2 linked regions of the Astyanax mexicanus genome follow. The protein of the gene in region 2 interacts with the protein of the main gene of each other region in a biochemical or structural test. Links are inferred from orthologs where the notes say so. Each region holds a gene or a part of one and is shown on either strand. Other genes may lie near its edges.

Region 1 (7,827 bases), on a different chromosome or scaffold from region 2:
TCAATGTCAAGTAGAGGAAAACAACCCATGTAGATGAAAACAACAGGAAGTTGCAAAGTGCACCAAAGTGTTACTAAACTGCAGAGTGAAATCAAAACTAGATTAACAAAATATAAGTACCTCAATGTAACACACACACACATACATACATACTTTGAGCTGGACTTTCAGGTGTGGAAAAACCTTAAAAACCATGAACTGTCCAACAGAAATGCTCATAAAAACTATTTATATTGACTTCTAAGTGAAGATGAAGGGGGGAAAAAAGAATCCTTACATTATTTGTGCACTAGCACTTTTCTTCAACACATTCTGCTGTGCCTGATCTCTTGGCTAGCTATGTGGGCATGTTCGTGATGTTTTTAATTCAAAGGAAGCAACAGAAGCAGGCAATCATAAGTTTTTAAGTTTTAGCTTTTACATTTTTTAATCAACCTCATTGTAATCTATAGTTCTGTCAATACTTATTCAGCATCTCTTCTGTAGTAAAAAGGCGCCTGTTCTGTGTGTACTCCTTGTATGCCCTGCTGAACTTTTTCACCGTACGACGAGGCTGCGTTCAGCACAACGCAACCCACCACAGCATGCCGCGACTCTATCCATTGAAATTGGATAGGATGAGTCAAGTCCTAGTGGACACGTACAGTTGCCATCTGAGATAGCAAGCTTTCACATGGCAGCAGTAGCAGTTCAGTGGTGTCCTAAAGATGATGAGGGTTACAAAATTACACCCTCCATTGTTGAGCTACACCACCTTCAGAGCCTCCAGGCACATCTTCTGTAGACCAGGCTCATCAACTACACACCATCTGTCACCATCTCTACTGGACCAATACCAAGCTATTGTTGACCTAAACCAGCTAGAGTGGGTTTCATCCAACAGGGGAACAAAGGGCAGTGATTGGGATGGGCCTTAAGTTAAAAAAAATAAATATATCTTTTTAATATTTTATTACAGTATGCTGTATTTTGATACAAAGACACTTTTAAAAGAGAATTCACAAATAAAAACATGAATGCAATAAGTTCTGATGAAAATCGGTTTTGCTGATTCCACTCAGGGGCGCGCACCTGTACTCAAAGGGAGTCAGATTCTGGCAGGAAGGCAGAATTCAGCACAACACCTGGAAAGGCAACTTGCAGAACTGACAATATTCTTCAAACCAATGAATATGTGCGTCAAGTAAAGGGAAATACAGCCAACGTAGGCAACGATTACAGGATGCAGTAAAGTTCTTTAATAAATTATTAAATTTACTAAACCAACTAAATGCAGTTAGAATCCAAAACTAACCAAATTAAACGTACCGTATACAGCGTGACAAAAACATGAACCTTGGCTCTGACTGGTCCAGACTTGGTCCAACAGCAGCAATAAACATTAGACATGCAGAAGCTCTCACCATTGATGACGTGTTCTGGAGAGATGGTCTTCTTCTCAGACTTGTTGCAGATCTCGTTGGCCTCAGAGGAGATGAGGTGGATAAACTCTGTGCAGCAGTTGACCACCAGCTCTCTGGCGTCGTTGGCCACTCGCACATTGGGCAGTGTCTCTTTGATCATCTTGTTGATCGCTGCCCTCGGGATGGTCAGGTCATCATCATTTCCCGACGAGGAGGCCATCATATGGCTATAATGCACAACATAAATTATTAGACATAGATATTTATTTGGCCATATCTTTTACTTGTTTGATATATTTAGGATATACAAATATTTCAATATTCCAATTGCAGTGTGTGAATACTAGGGGTAGGAATCACAGGGCATCTCACAATTCGAGAATATCACGACACGATGCCCACGTTAACAACTATATCCCAATACTTGATATATCACATGGCAATTTTCTGTAGCTAACCCTAGTTATATCAGTGGCATAAAACAGTTTCAAAGGACAACGATAATACAGTTTTCTGCAATTACTACTGGGACAATACAGAATCATTTAAAAGTTTGGACAAACCTCTCTCATTCAATGTTTTCCTTAATTTTTTTTTTTTTACATTGCAAATTTAATGCTGAAAGAGTTTTCTCAGCATCTTGAAGGAGTTCCTGGAGGTGCTGAACAATATTTGCTGCTTTTCCTTCATGCTGTGAAGCTCCAGCTCATCCCAGATCACCTCAGTTAATCAGGTTTAGATCACGGGATGTTGTGAAGGACAAACACTTTTTTTAACTGTTTACTACGTAATGTGTCCCTTAATTGTTTTTGTGCCTTTTGTGTATTAATTTATAACGCACAAAATTATATATTATTGAAAAAATAACAAAAAAACATTGAATGAGAAGGTGTGTCCAAATTGTGACTGGTACTGCAAAGCTACATCAGCCAGAAAAGTAGGCTATCGTGACAGACTTACTTGGAGCTGAAGCCAAGGATGCAGAGTGAGGGAGGAAAGGAGGAGACCTGCTGTGCTCTTGTGCACTCCTGTGTGCACTCCCGAGGGCACAACGGGGCTCTGGGCTTTACCTGGAGCTGCTGGAGCAGACAGTACAGGTACCGGAGGCTAAATGAAGGTGTGAGTAGTGAATGAAGTGAGCCAGCCGGCTCGACCAGAAGCTCCACTAGCTTTAGCAAAGCCTGAGTCCGTGTGGAGACAGCAGCTAATGCTAAGTTAGGTAGTAAACAAGGTGTAAAAACTATGTATCTACTTACTACTACTACAAACACACAGTGTAAGAGCCCAGTCGTGTGTTTTAGAGTTTAATAATGAGGGTTTTCGGTTCACTGGGGGAGGGCTGAGACTGCTGTGAGTCCTGCTCCCCCGCTTTTGTCTCGGGCTGTGTGTCTGAGCCCGGTTGGAAGTGAGCTCGGCTGGAGGCTCAGTGAGCCGCAGCAGCGCCGCAGCACCCGCTCAGCCCAACCGCCGCCATCCCTCAGCTCAGCCCAGCTCCAAAACACAGTGCCTCCCGAGCCTTTAACTCAAAACAGCCATGGTTTTAATCCCCCCCGCGGTCAGCCAGCTCCCGGACTCAGTCCCACAATGAAGGCTAAAGGATATCCGACCACCGGGCTTTCTCACTTCTTCCCCGCTCACCTCCACGCGCTCGCCCCCTAGCGCCCCGGCGTACCACCGGCGCGGAGAGAAGAAGAGGGGTCGAGTGGGCGTGTTCCAATCCGAGCGATATGTCAGGGCTAGTGCACTACGTAGTGTGTCAGCTGCTTTGAAGTCGTGTTCGGAGCATAGATATACATTGTGTATTTTTTTTGGCTCTTTTTGATTTGATCCTTTTTATACTTGAAGACGAGGTTGGGTAAGGAACTTCCCCTCAAAGTCCAAGATATATTGTATATTTCTGAGGAGAAATTTATTTGTGTACATTCAAATGTACACACATTTAAAAATGAAAAATGTCATAGATCCACAGATATTTTGAAGCTTTTCAATTTTATATTTTATATGAATCCTTTTCCCTTTTCTGTATGTTGTGCACAAAAAACAATATACAGTCTATGGTTCAAAGTGACATTAAGTTATTTTGATCACATCCGGGTGTGACTTATGTTCCAGCTATATGCATGCATGTATAAATATGTGTTCATGTTTACAGTTATTAAATAATTTCTAATGTCTATGTATTTCATAATTAATTATTAGTAGGTATTATGTGGGTGATTAGTAAGTGATATGACCCTAAAATTACATCACAAAAAAAATTGCGATAATACTTGGCATCTTATGTTAAAACATAAAACTTTCAAAATAAACTTCAGGAAGAATTCCTTTTAGTAGGAACAAAAATAATTTCGTTTTTTATTAAAACAGTACTTAAATGAACACAGGAGTTTGTATTACTGTGGATACAACTTTTGAAAAATAAAGAAACAGTAAATAGGTGTGTGTGTGTGTGTGTGTGTGTGTGTGTGTGTGTGTGTGTGTGTGGAGATCCGTTCCCCGGTTTATCAGTAAACGACTAGTGAACGCTAGAGGGAGCTTGAATAGAGCTAAATGGCTAAGAAATCAAAAGATGAACAATTTATAAACACCTTACCACATATTACTTTAATTGTAAAAGGTAAAATAAGGAATTTCCCCTAAAAAAGTAAAGAAAACTTGCCTGTATGTTTCCATTTTTCCTCACCAGGCGCCAGCATAACTGCTGCTGTGAGCTGACTGGTTGGTGAGCTAATGTTGAAATAACAGCCAGGGCACTGATTTTAAAGAAATTAGTAAGTAAAAGTCTTTTTTTTTGTGCTAATTATTTAAATTGTTTTGAAAATTAACTTCGATATAAAACTGTGATGAAAGAAATAGTAAAACACTAATGTTACAATATAAGGTAAATAGCGATACTAATAATAAAATTCCTATATACAAAATAAGTCGAACACTCAGTTGTTTTGCCACTTGTTTCAAATGTATGACAGTCATATTTTGGACTAGTTTAAGCTTCTAAAGGGCAGGTTTTAGATTGACTTTGGACTGGATATTTTGTTGGACCTGGCAACCCTGTTAGCAGTTTATGTTAGCATGTTGTAGCATAACCCAGCTGTGGAAATTACTTTAAATGCCTGACATTACTATGCTAGTGGTTTTGATAAAGTACCTAGCTATGATAAGCAAATCATGTGCTAACATGTTTTTTTTTTTTTTTTTTTACTTTCTTAGAAAAAAAAAATGAAGATACATCCTGATCAATTTACAACAGAAAACATAATCTTTATTAGTCCTTTAAAGGTAGCACATTTCTCATATTTTTCTACCGAAAATATAATCCTTATTGGTCCTTTAAAGGTAGCATATTGTTAACTGTCCTCCACACACACAGCAAAGCACCTAGGGATGGATTCCTGGATTAGGATTAGGATCCAGATCCAGATTCTGGAGGAAATCGTTTTGTCGTTTAGGTAATGTCCGTGAATACTTTAAAAGGCTTACAATTTGTGAGGTGGTCTATTGGAGCATATGTCTGCAGCTGTACACTGTAGATCAGATACTGATCCAGTATTAAGCCTTCCGGTTATATCTTCCATATAAGAGAATGACAGTTCCAGACGCTCAGGTGTTATATAAGCCTTTATCGAGGTAGCACACAGACCAGGTAAAAATACATTCAGCATAATAATGGTCATAATCAGATTATCAGATTCAAAATAATCTGCGTGCTATAGCTAAAAGAGGAAAGGGGTTTATAAGGGACGGGCAGGTGGTCTCTGTGGGGTTCTGGCACAGCCGTTAAGACTTGTCCTTTTCCAGACTGCTGAAGCTCTTGCGACTCCTCCAGCGCAGCAGCTTGAGGAAGTTCAGGCTGGCGCTGAAGACCTTGTCATGCTCGAACACCACCTTATAGAAGGTATCGATGGGCAGGTCACCGTTGGGGTCAGCGTATTTAAGGGTGGTCACTGGAGTGTACAGGGTGTTGGTCTGATGACGGAATGGTGGGTTGTCCATTGTGATGATTTTGAGTGTATGCTGTTGAAGGAAGCATATGATTTTTTGATTAGACAGTTGGATATCCACTAGTTTAGCAGACACTTTAGCTGACATATCCATTCTCCACTTACTTATGTGTTTTTTTCCAGGCAATATCGCAACAAATCTTTGTCAAATTTCCCAATAAAACAAATGACTGTAGATAATATTAATTTGCTTCTTTTCCATCTGATTTATTAAACCCCTCTTCCACCTCCACTGTATTTGTGTTTGGATAAATGTTTTAAATGTAGTTCCTTTAAACACAGAGGCAGCTCCTCTCCTGTGGAACCTGGTGGAAATAAGTTTGATGGAGCTCCTCAACACTGCATACTTTTTAAGTTGTGTTTAAAACGCTGTTGTTCAAGCAATAAGTTAAGCTTTTCTTTTAATAAGTGTGACGTCCTGTAGCTAAGCATATGATACTACCGTACTAATCCTGTACACTTATTATCACTGTGGTTGTAATGCTTATCAGTGGTCCAATGGTCTCAATCTGGAGCAGCTGAACAAACATAGATCTATTGCCACCATGCCTAATGACCAGGCACAATCTATATAGGAGCATGCTTTATAGCATTAAATTGGCAAGCAGTGGAACTGTGTTCTCTAGAATGATGGTGCTCTATCAGTCAAATTCCTTTATTCCAAGGATTTGCAATCTGATCCTCACAGCAATGCTCCAACATCTAGAAGAAATCCTTTCCTTGACAGTAGAGACAGTTACTCCAACAAAAGCACAAAAAACTATTTTTAATACCATCTTGCAGAGTAAATAATGAATGAACAGGTGTCCAAATACTTTTGTCCAAATAGTGTTACTTGAATCTGGTCACTGTTATTTGCATTGTATAGAAATTTTAGGATGAATAGACCAATAGAAATGCTCCAGAATGACATAAGAGTAAATATTTTTTCCACTGAAAGTTAAGAATGCCATTTCTTCTCTAGTTCTACAAACATTGCATGACAGTGACTGTATGTTGAATATGTTCTATGCCCTAATAAACCCAAAATGGAAACATTAACAACTCCAATTTTCAGCTACTAATCATGATACATTCGCCTTTTTAACCATGAACCTGAATATTGTCCATTATTACAGCCCTGTACTATATCTGTGTACCTCTGCAATAACCTCCGGCGTCTGGCCCAGGCTTTCGAATATCTGGGTCCAGTGCCTCATGTAGATATTGAGAAACATGTCTGCAGTCACTGAGTCCACTTTAGACATGTCGCTCTTCATGCCCTCCTCGTACACTTTATGCTCAAAATCTGTGATGACTGGTCCTGGTTCAATTAGGCTTATGCTGGAAAAGAAAACAGAGACCATTAGTACTATACTAACGCCTGTATTAACATGCCCCTGGAATTTCGCAAAACTCGGCATACAGTTGATTCTCAGGCAGATATGTAAATGATTACAGGCATGGTCTGAATATACATTGGTTCTTGCCATAAGAGTGCTACCCCCACCGCCCTATGCTACTTTTGAATAGTGTACCTTCTGGTGAGAGATTGTTGACTGCAAGTCATGCGTCTATGATGCACTCAAGACATTATTCCCAGTTGACACAGTAAGACACAATCGCCCTCAACAAAACCCCCTCAAGCAATCCATTGGGATCCAATCCATTTGGGATTCAGCAACAGTGGGGTTAGAGTATGGAGGCCTCTTGCCAGGATGCCAAACAGAACCTGTATGCCACCATGCCCAACCGTTTCTCATCTTGTGTTCATAAAAGGCTGCTCAAAAGGGTACTTTCTACCAGGGCTATTAAAATGCACAAGTGAAGCACTTCTCCCTTATGAGGAAATGTGTCATAAATCTGTAAGTTAACTCAAATCCACAAGCCAAGTCTGAAGATAAACCCAGAGAATCCTCTGTAAATGAAAGTAAGTCGTAGCTGCTCCAGCCAGCAGTCAGCTGTGCTTATGTAATATGCAGCATTGCTAGGATATTGCGATTCGAGTGTGCAGATGTTCCACACACAAGGGTGTGTGACCCAGGTGTGTATCTGCACGCACATGCAGTCTCATGACTGAACTCTCTTATCTGGCCAGAAACCATTAGGGGACTTTTCCAATCACAAATATTACAAGAAAATGGAAAAGGTCCACTTCCACAAACATCCTGTTTAGTGTTTTGGTACAGCTCTTTTTGAGTCAAATATTATAAAAAAAAAAAAGTTTGAAAAAACTTAAGTCAACCTCATTGTGCCATCTCTACTAACTGGCAGAAGTGTGGCATCCTCTAGAAATCCACTAGAGATCAGTGTGGTTGCGTCTCATTTGCACACTAAGTTGAGTATACTCAACTATATATTCACAATGCATACTTAGAAGATAGTATTTAAGTATGGTTGCAATGGACACTATTGTCCAGGGTTTTAATCAATCAGTGGTGCAC
Region 2 (6,968 bases):
AAACTGCTGCCTGTGGCATCTGGCTATACATTACATACAATATTGTAAACAGAGGTCATGTTAAAAGCCACTGCACTATTCCATTAAAGAGTAAGGCAAACTAACTCAATGCACCTTATGTAACCTCCAGGTTGGTGACTTTATTGATGATGTGTGAGCGCCTGGGCACGCACTCTAAATCAAACTTGCTCTCGTAGATGGTTGGGCACAGCTTCCACTTGTTATTTCGGTATATTCCCAGGTAAGTGTAGACGTCTGGCTTGTAAGAGAGTGAGCACTTGACCCCAGCAGCCCTTATGGCCGCGTCCAGCTGCATGACCTGCTCCTCGTCTGCAAAGTTGTTGTTGTAGGCGCAAATGACATGCTTGGCTTCAGAGTTCGCATCTCGTGGGCTCACTTTGGCTGAGGAGATTTTCCCATCTAGCACGGCTTTGGCTATGCATTCCCAGGCACGGTCCACCTTGAAGCCGGTGTCCATGTGTATGAGCCATTTGCCTGTGAGCACATTGTGGTTCAATGCCAGCTCCTTTATGGTCTGGAAAGTGACTTGGCGCCCACTGGCCAGGAGCTTTTCCCAGCTTTCTTGAAGACCAGTCACGTCCGGGTACTCCGGACCATGATCTGGACCCAACACTGAGATCCAGCCCACAGGGCCCAAACCACCTTCTTCGTCTCCAAAACGGCTCACCTGGGAGGGCCTGTTAGACTCCAGCCAGCTGTAGAATTCGGCTCTAGGCGTTTTGCGGGCATCAAATATGATCCACGGGTCCATGTCTGCGGCCAAGGCCTCGGCAGCGTAGTCTTCTGCCGAAAGAGGCTCGGCATGTTCCTCCTCTTCCTCCATCCTTCTTCTGGACCTCGGGGTTGAGTGTTGGTACACGGGTAGCGTACGTCCTATATGCTAGTGTAAGGCACTCTTTTTCTGTTAGAGAGACCAAAAAAAAAAGTTATGAGTTAACCTGTATGATTATAAGGCAGTTTCACAGTTCTAGCTTCTCTATAAAAGTTGTCAGCAGAGGGAAGGATGAAGTGCTTTAAAATTTTCCGGAAAAAAAAAAAACGCTGCACTGACTTTGGAATTGATATAACAGAGTAGACCAACACCAGCAGACATGACTCTCCAACCCATCACTGACCATCAGTAAATTTTAAAACGCTTAAAATAGATCACTCGGTGTGTAATAAGTCTATATAATATGAGTTTCACATTTTGAACTGAATTGCTGAAATAAAGTATCTTTTTAATGAAAATATTCTATGTGAACCAGGTGACTCTCTCATGAAAACACAGAGAAAATACCAGTGTTCAAATATGTAATCAAAGGTAAATGTGCCACTTCCACTTCATAATCTAAAGTGTAAAACATATTTTGGTTTGCTTACCAAATAATCCTGCATTTGTTCCTGTATAGCTTTAATGTATTTGATATTAAATTTACTACGTAAAAATAAATTATAAAAAGAAAGAAAACACATAGAATGAGAAGCGGTGTGTCCAAACTTTTGATAGGTACTGTCAAAGTGATTTATTTTACACATAAATCGGTAATAGATTAATTTAAGCAAATAATAAATCTGCGGAGCCAGTTGGGAGTTGAAAGAGCCGGCCCTTTTTTAGTGAGCCGAGCCAAAAGAACCGACTCAGAAAAATGCCACATGTGACATGTGACAATCACTACTGCGCATGCGCTGAAAATTTTTTGTGCCTTTTTTACGTTTTCATGTGTTTTTCGAGATAAATCTGCTCATACAGTGTGTTTTACAGTCTAGACTTACTGTTATTGGTTGTTTGAGTCTCACACGAGTTTTAATGGCTATTCAAATACATAAATACACCGTATATACCCTTATAATTGCTATACTGTGTACTATACAGGCTAGTTAGCCTATATCCACATATCTTCTACCTAACCTACCAAACTTCACTTACATTAAATCATGTTTTCAACCAATCTGAATAAACTACTAGTCAATCAGATTTACCTATGAATACACATTATACACTGGGAGCACGTTTTGACAGGGTAGCAACATTGGACCCAACACCAGCAGTTATATTTGCAGATCTGCAGACCCACACACAGCTTAATGAACACTGCACAGACAGGTTACAAACTCATTCCTTCACCCCACAGCTCTACAGAAGACTCTCCCCACACACAGCTCACTCTTTAGCCTCCTCACTGACTTTAATCAGCAAACTTTACCCCAAACACAGCACAGCAGCAGCTGCAACTAGCCCCGACCACCAGAGAGGAGAAATAAAGCAGAAAACTCACAGAATTCCTCACTATTGCGCATTATACAGCGCTCACACTGCAATACAGCCCGCACACGCTCACCTGCGGCATCAAACACGCCTTTAAAACCACTAAAACAGCCGCTAAACCCACAGCTAGCCGAGCTAATGCGTTGTTTTTGAATTGTCTGGCTCTGTCCCAATTTGTGCGCCCGTGCTGTCTCCCCTCGCACACTAGAAAGGCCACGTCTACTTCGAACACTCTTTAGCTAACCTAGCTAGTGTGCTCGTTTCCCTACTTCCCCCACAGGTCGCTTAACAACTGGAAAATATCTAAACGACGGCGTTTTAGGGCCACTCTTTAAAAAAACAGTTCGTTCGAGAATAAAGTCGCAATATTACGAGGCTAAAGCCTTAACATTACAAGATTAAAGCTGTAAAGAAAATATCCAAATGTTCGCAGTAAATCAAGAGGAAATCTTCTCAATGTAAGAGATTTAAAAAAAATTAACAAATAGATAAAAAGTAAATAATAATGATATAGAAAATAATAAAATTAAATTAAGACCAATAACAAATGAATTAATAAAAACATAGAAATTATAAAGAGTTAAAACAGTCACATGCGTTCTGAAGGTAATTTGAAACTAAGAAGAGTTTCAAATTTCAAATGTGAAGAGGAGGTTGGATATAATACTATTAGGTAATAATAATAATAATAATAATAATAATAATAATAATAATAATAATAATAATAATAATAATAATAATAATAATTAGTATAGTATTAGTATAAAATCTATTTACTCATTCGTCTTCTTTTCCCTGATGGTCAGGGTTGTGGTGGGTCCAGAAACTACCCAATTCACCTTTTAACTTTACCTACATGTGCAGAAACCATTGAAATACTAAGTCATGTTCATGTACGATCTTGTTGTTTTAAGATATTATGTCATTATTTTATTATATTATATATTAAGTTGTTATTTTGAGATACATCATTATTTTGAGATACTAAGTCGTTTATATGAATGCTTTTGTTGATTTAGGATCTCACAATAACGACTTAGTACCTCATAATCATAAGATTGCAATTTACTTAATAATAAGTTTTTTTTTAAGTGGAGGAAATTAGATTTCACAAAAAAATGACAATCCTTTGAAAAAATCATTTTTTCTTTCTTTTTTTTGCTATGCTATTGCTATTTGTAATTCTATTTCAGTAGTTCAATAATAACCTGTTCCCGGGTCATTATTTAAAAATACTTGCTAATATTTGGCATAACGGCAGTCCTTTAACTTAAATAATAATGATAAATTTGAAATATATGATGTGGAAATATAAAGACAAACTGTTTTTTTAGAGATTAAGATTGAGATAGGGCCTACTGAATCAAGATTTGCATCCTGCTGCCAGAAACTGAGAAGGCCAGAAAGGGCATTTACCTGACAGGAATGTATTTCCATATTTAAACACCGAATAAAAACAGGTTTAAGTTTAAAGTTAAGGCGAAATTTCACTATTATTTTTATTTTATTTTGTTTTATAGCATGCTGAGTTTGTTATGGGCTTGATTTGAACACACTTGTAAATTGGAGCGCAGCCGGAGATCAAGCTGCGACCCTGCGAGACCCGGCTGGACTGAAGGAGGAGGAGGTGGAGACGGAGCCGCCGCTGCTGCTGAACCAAAAACACTGAGTTTATCATTAAAACCGAGCCTAAACCCGGCCTGGAGCCGATCCGGCAGCGGGACAAAGGAGTACAGACACAGAGCACACGGGCTAAAGCGGGAGGAGTCCTGTAAAACACAGCATGCCGAGCAAAAAGAAGAAATATAACGCCAGATTCCCCCCGGTGAGATTACTCCCATTCACCTGATAATGCTAATGCTAAGCTCAATGATTCTCTATGTACATGCTAACGTTAGCTTAGCACAGTTTAGCCTAGCCTAACTTAGCGGAGCTCCTGTTATCTTAACGCCCACTCTGAATGAGAGGAGTAAAACCTGTGGCTGGGTTTAACTCTGTTACCTGGTCTAGACTCGAGTCTAAGTTTAATTCTGAGTTTAAAACAATACCCAGTGTAATACCGAGAGCTGGAGAAGCCCATAGACTCAATGTAGAGCGGTTCAGCGGGTCCGGCTAATCCTACTGTACAGCTGCTCGCTGGAGAACTGAGAGTTCGGTTAGCTTAGCTTAGCTTAGCCTAGCTTAGCCTAGCTAACAGCTGCAGTCCTCAGCATTATTCAGAGGCCGTGTAGCTTTATAATTAAACAATTTACACTTTATTTTATGCAGTATTCTAAAATCTGTGGTTCAAATTGGTCAATACTAATGTAGCCATGATCCTGGATAATCTTTGTGTGTAGCCAGCCAGCTAGCTAACGCTAGTAAAGGTTTTTGCTAAGTAGCTAACATAAGCTAGCTAACATAACTTAGTTCCCTCAGTTTGTGTTGGAAAGTGAAAACTCAGCTAACCAGCTACTGTACAGACAGAACACAGATGTTTTACTTACCTATAAACACAGATACATTTAACTGACACTAACAGATATTTGGCATAAAATTGACAGACATTTGACTTAAAACCAGCAATTGTTTTTTGACATAAAATCAACAGATGTTTATGGTAAAGTTAACAGAGATATTTCGCATAAAACCAACAGGCGTTTAAGGTAACGTTTTATGTAACAAATGATATTTGACATAACATCAACAGATGTTTATAGTAAAATTAACAGAGTTATTCCACAAACTCAACAGATGTTTATGGTAAAATGAACAGAGATATTTGACACAACCAAAAATGTTTAATGAAAAATTAATAGAGAAATTTAAAATAAAATGAGCAGATATTTGATGTTTAGGTGAGAGATATTTGATGTAAAATATAGATAAGTGACACCAATATATATAACATAAAGATATAACAAATATTTGTTATAAAATTATCAGATGTTTACCATAAAATTAATAAAGATATTTGGCATAAAGCGAACAAATATTTAGTGAAAATTCAACAGAGATATTTTACATAAAATAAAAATTATTTAACAAAAAATCAGAAAAGATTTTTGGTATAAAATTTAAAGTGATTTTAAAATGAATACATTTAACATAATATTAACAGCTCTCTGGCTCTGTACATATCAGCAGGCTACTCAGCTGCTCTTATGCTGCTAACCAACTTTAGATATCAACAATATTTACATACCATTTGTATTTGTGGCATTTTTCTGCTCCATTTACTACAGAGGCCTCATTCTTCTCCACAAAGAGTGGTGTACCTTCAGTTTTTTATTCCAGTGAAGCAGAAGCACATGTGATTAGTTGTTTGAAGACTGACCAACTGATTAAACAAGAGGAACCAAGTGTGCTGCTGCTGTTTTTTTTCCATAAAAAAGGAAATCTGCAACCACAGCAGCCCTGTGTAGATAAGATTGTACATCTCTAATTTATTGATGTAATCACATTCTTTTATGAATGCTCTTAATCTAGTAGAAAATCTTTTTTGGACAGTATGCATTTAAGTACAATAGTTGCATGTCTCTCAGAGACTCAGGTGGTAGATTAGTAGTATAAGTATAAGTACTACAATAAAGTAGTATAATAAAGGAGCACGTTTGTGTTCTTTATTTTATTTAAAATACAACAAGATGTGGCTGGTAAAGGTTTTGTGTTTCAAGCACAGGAAAATATCTAAGTCTGATAGAATGTAAAGCACCAATTTGAAGTATTTCCACACTGTAAATGTTTCCACACTAAAAAAAATGACAGAAATGCATAACTAGTATTTAATATTCACTGTTACATTTTAGCTTTCAGTGTTAAGTATGTTTTTGTGTCCTGTAGTGTATTCTGTACAGTATACACTGAACCCAGCTGTACTGTATGTGGCTATTCAGTAACTACTGTTATGTAAATTACATTTTTTGTTCCCAAAATATCTGTCTAGCTTTTTCACGCTCACTATGTGTGTTTGTATTACTTTCAGGCAAGAATTAAGAAGATTATGCAGACAGATGAAGAAATAGGAAAAGTCGCTGCTGCCGTTCCCGTTATTATCTGTATCCTTTGAAAGTTCACATATTTCTGTCTTCTGTTGTACAGCAGTGTTTTAGAAATGTGTCAGTATGAGAGTGTTTGAGGTTCTTATGCAAATTGCCCTTTAAATATTGCTAATTCTTTTACTGCCCTAAATATTTCTGTAGAGTTAGATGTCCAGTGCAAAGATGGACATGCACATTTCTAATCAGATGCTGTCAGCCATAATCATAACCATACACTGAACTATCCACTGTAGGTGGTAATGCCTTCTATGTTGTATTCCTGGTTAATACTTGACTCTGTGGATTAAGGAATTTTAAATGCCCACACACTCACTCACTAGATAACACCTTACAATATGTGGGTGTTCCCAAGCTGTCCCTTGAGGTAACACTTGGATCACATGATCCATGCATTCCACTGCATCGCATAACCTGAGATTAGTTGATTTAATAGGGTTTTTTTAAGTGAATAATCACTTTCAAGATATTTTGTTATTTTGGCGTTGATTAATAACCCTCTCTACTCTGTAGTTGATGTTCTTGGTTTGGTTGGTTCTTTAACCCCTGTTCGAGCGCGGGCACTTGAGCTGTTTCTGGAGTCTCTTCTGACGAAAGCCTGTCATGTTACCCAGTCACGGAACGCCAAAACTATGACAACATCGCATTTGTGAGTAATTTTA

What was found.
Region 1: the proteins of drap1 (region 2) and dr1 form a complex in vitro, tested with the Homo sapiens proteins (2 studies listed by BioGRID). The link is inferred for Astyanax mexicanus from reciprocal best matches to the Homo sapiens genes DRAP1 and DR1.

What each region holds. Positions count from the first base shown.
Region 1 is NC_064412.1:51,507,190-51,515,016, reverse strand, and holds the start of dr1 (protein Dr1), read right to left. Parts: upstream 3,013-7,827; 5' UTR 2,364-3,012; intron 1,631-2,363; 5' UTR 1,627-1,630; coding exon 1,404-1,626; intron 1-1,403. Other genes in the region: zgc:109982 (retinol dehydrogenase 8), read right to left, coding at 5,181-5,417, 6,544-6,727. UniProt on the Homo sapiens protein: The association of the DR1/DRAP1 heterodimer with TBP results in a functional repression of both activated and basal transcription of class II genes.
Region 2 is NC_064432.1:18,622,976-18,629,943, reverse strand, and holds the start of drap1 (dr1-associated corepressor), read left to right. Parts: upstream 1-3,956; 5' UTR 3,957-4,052; coding exon 4,053-4,094; intron 4,095-6,233; coding exon 6,234-6,306; intron 6,307-6,861; coding exon 6,862-6,955; intron 6,956-6,968. Other genes in the region: c25h11orf68 (UPF0696 protein C11orf68 homolog), read right to left, coding at 116-844. UniProt on the Homo sapiens protein: The association of the DR1/DRAP1 heterodimer with TBP results in a functional repression of both activated and basal transcription of class II genes.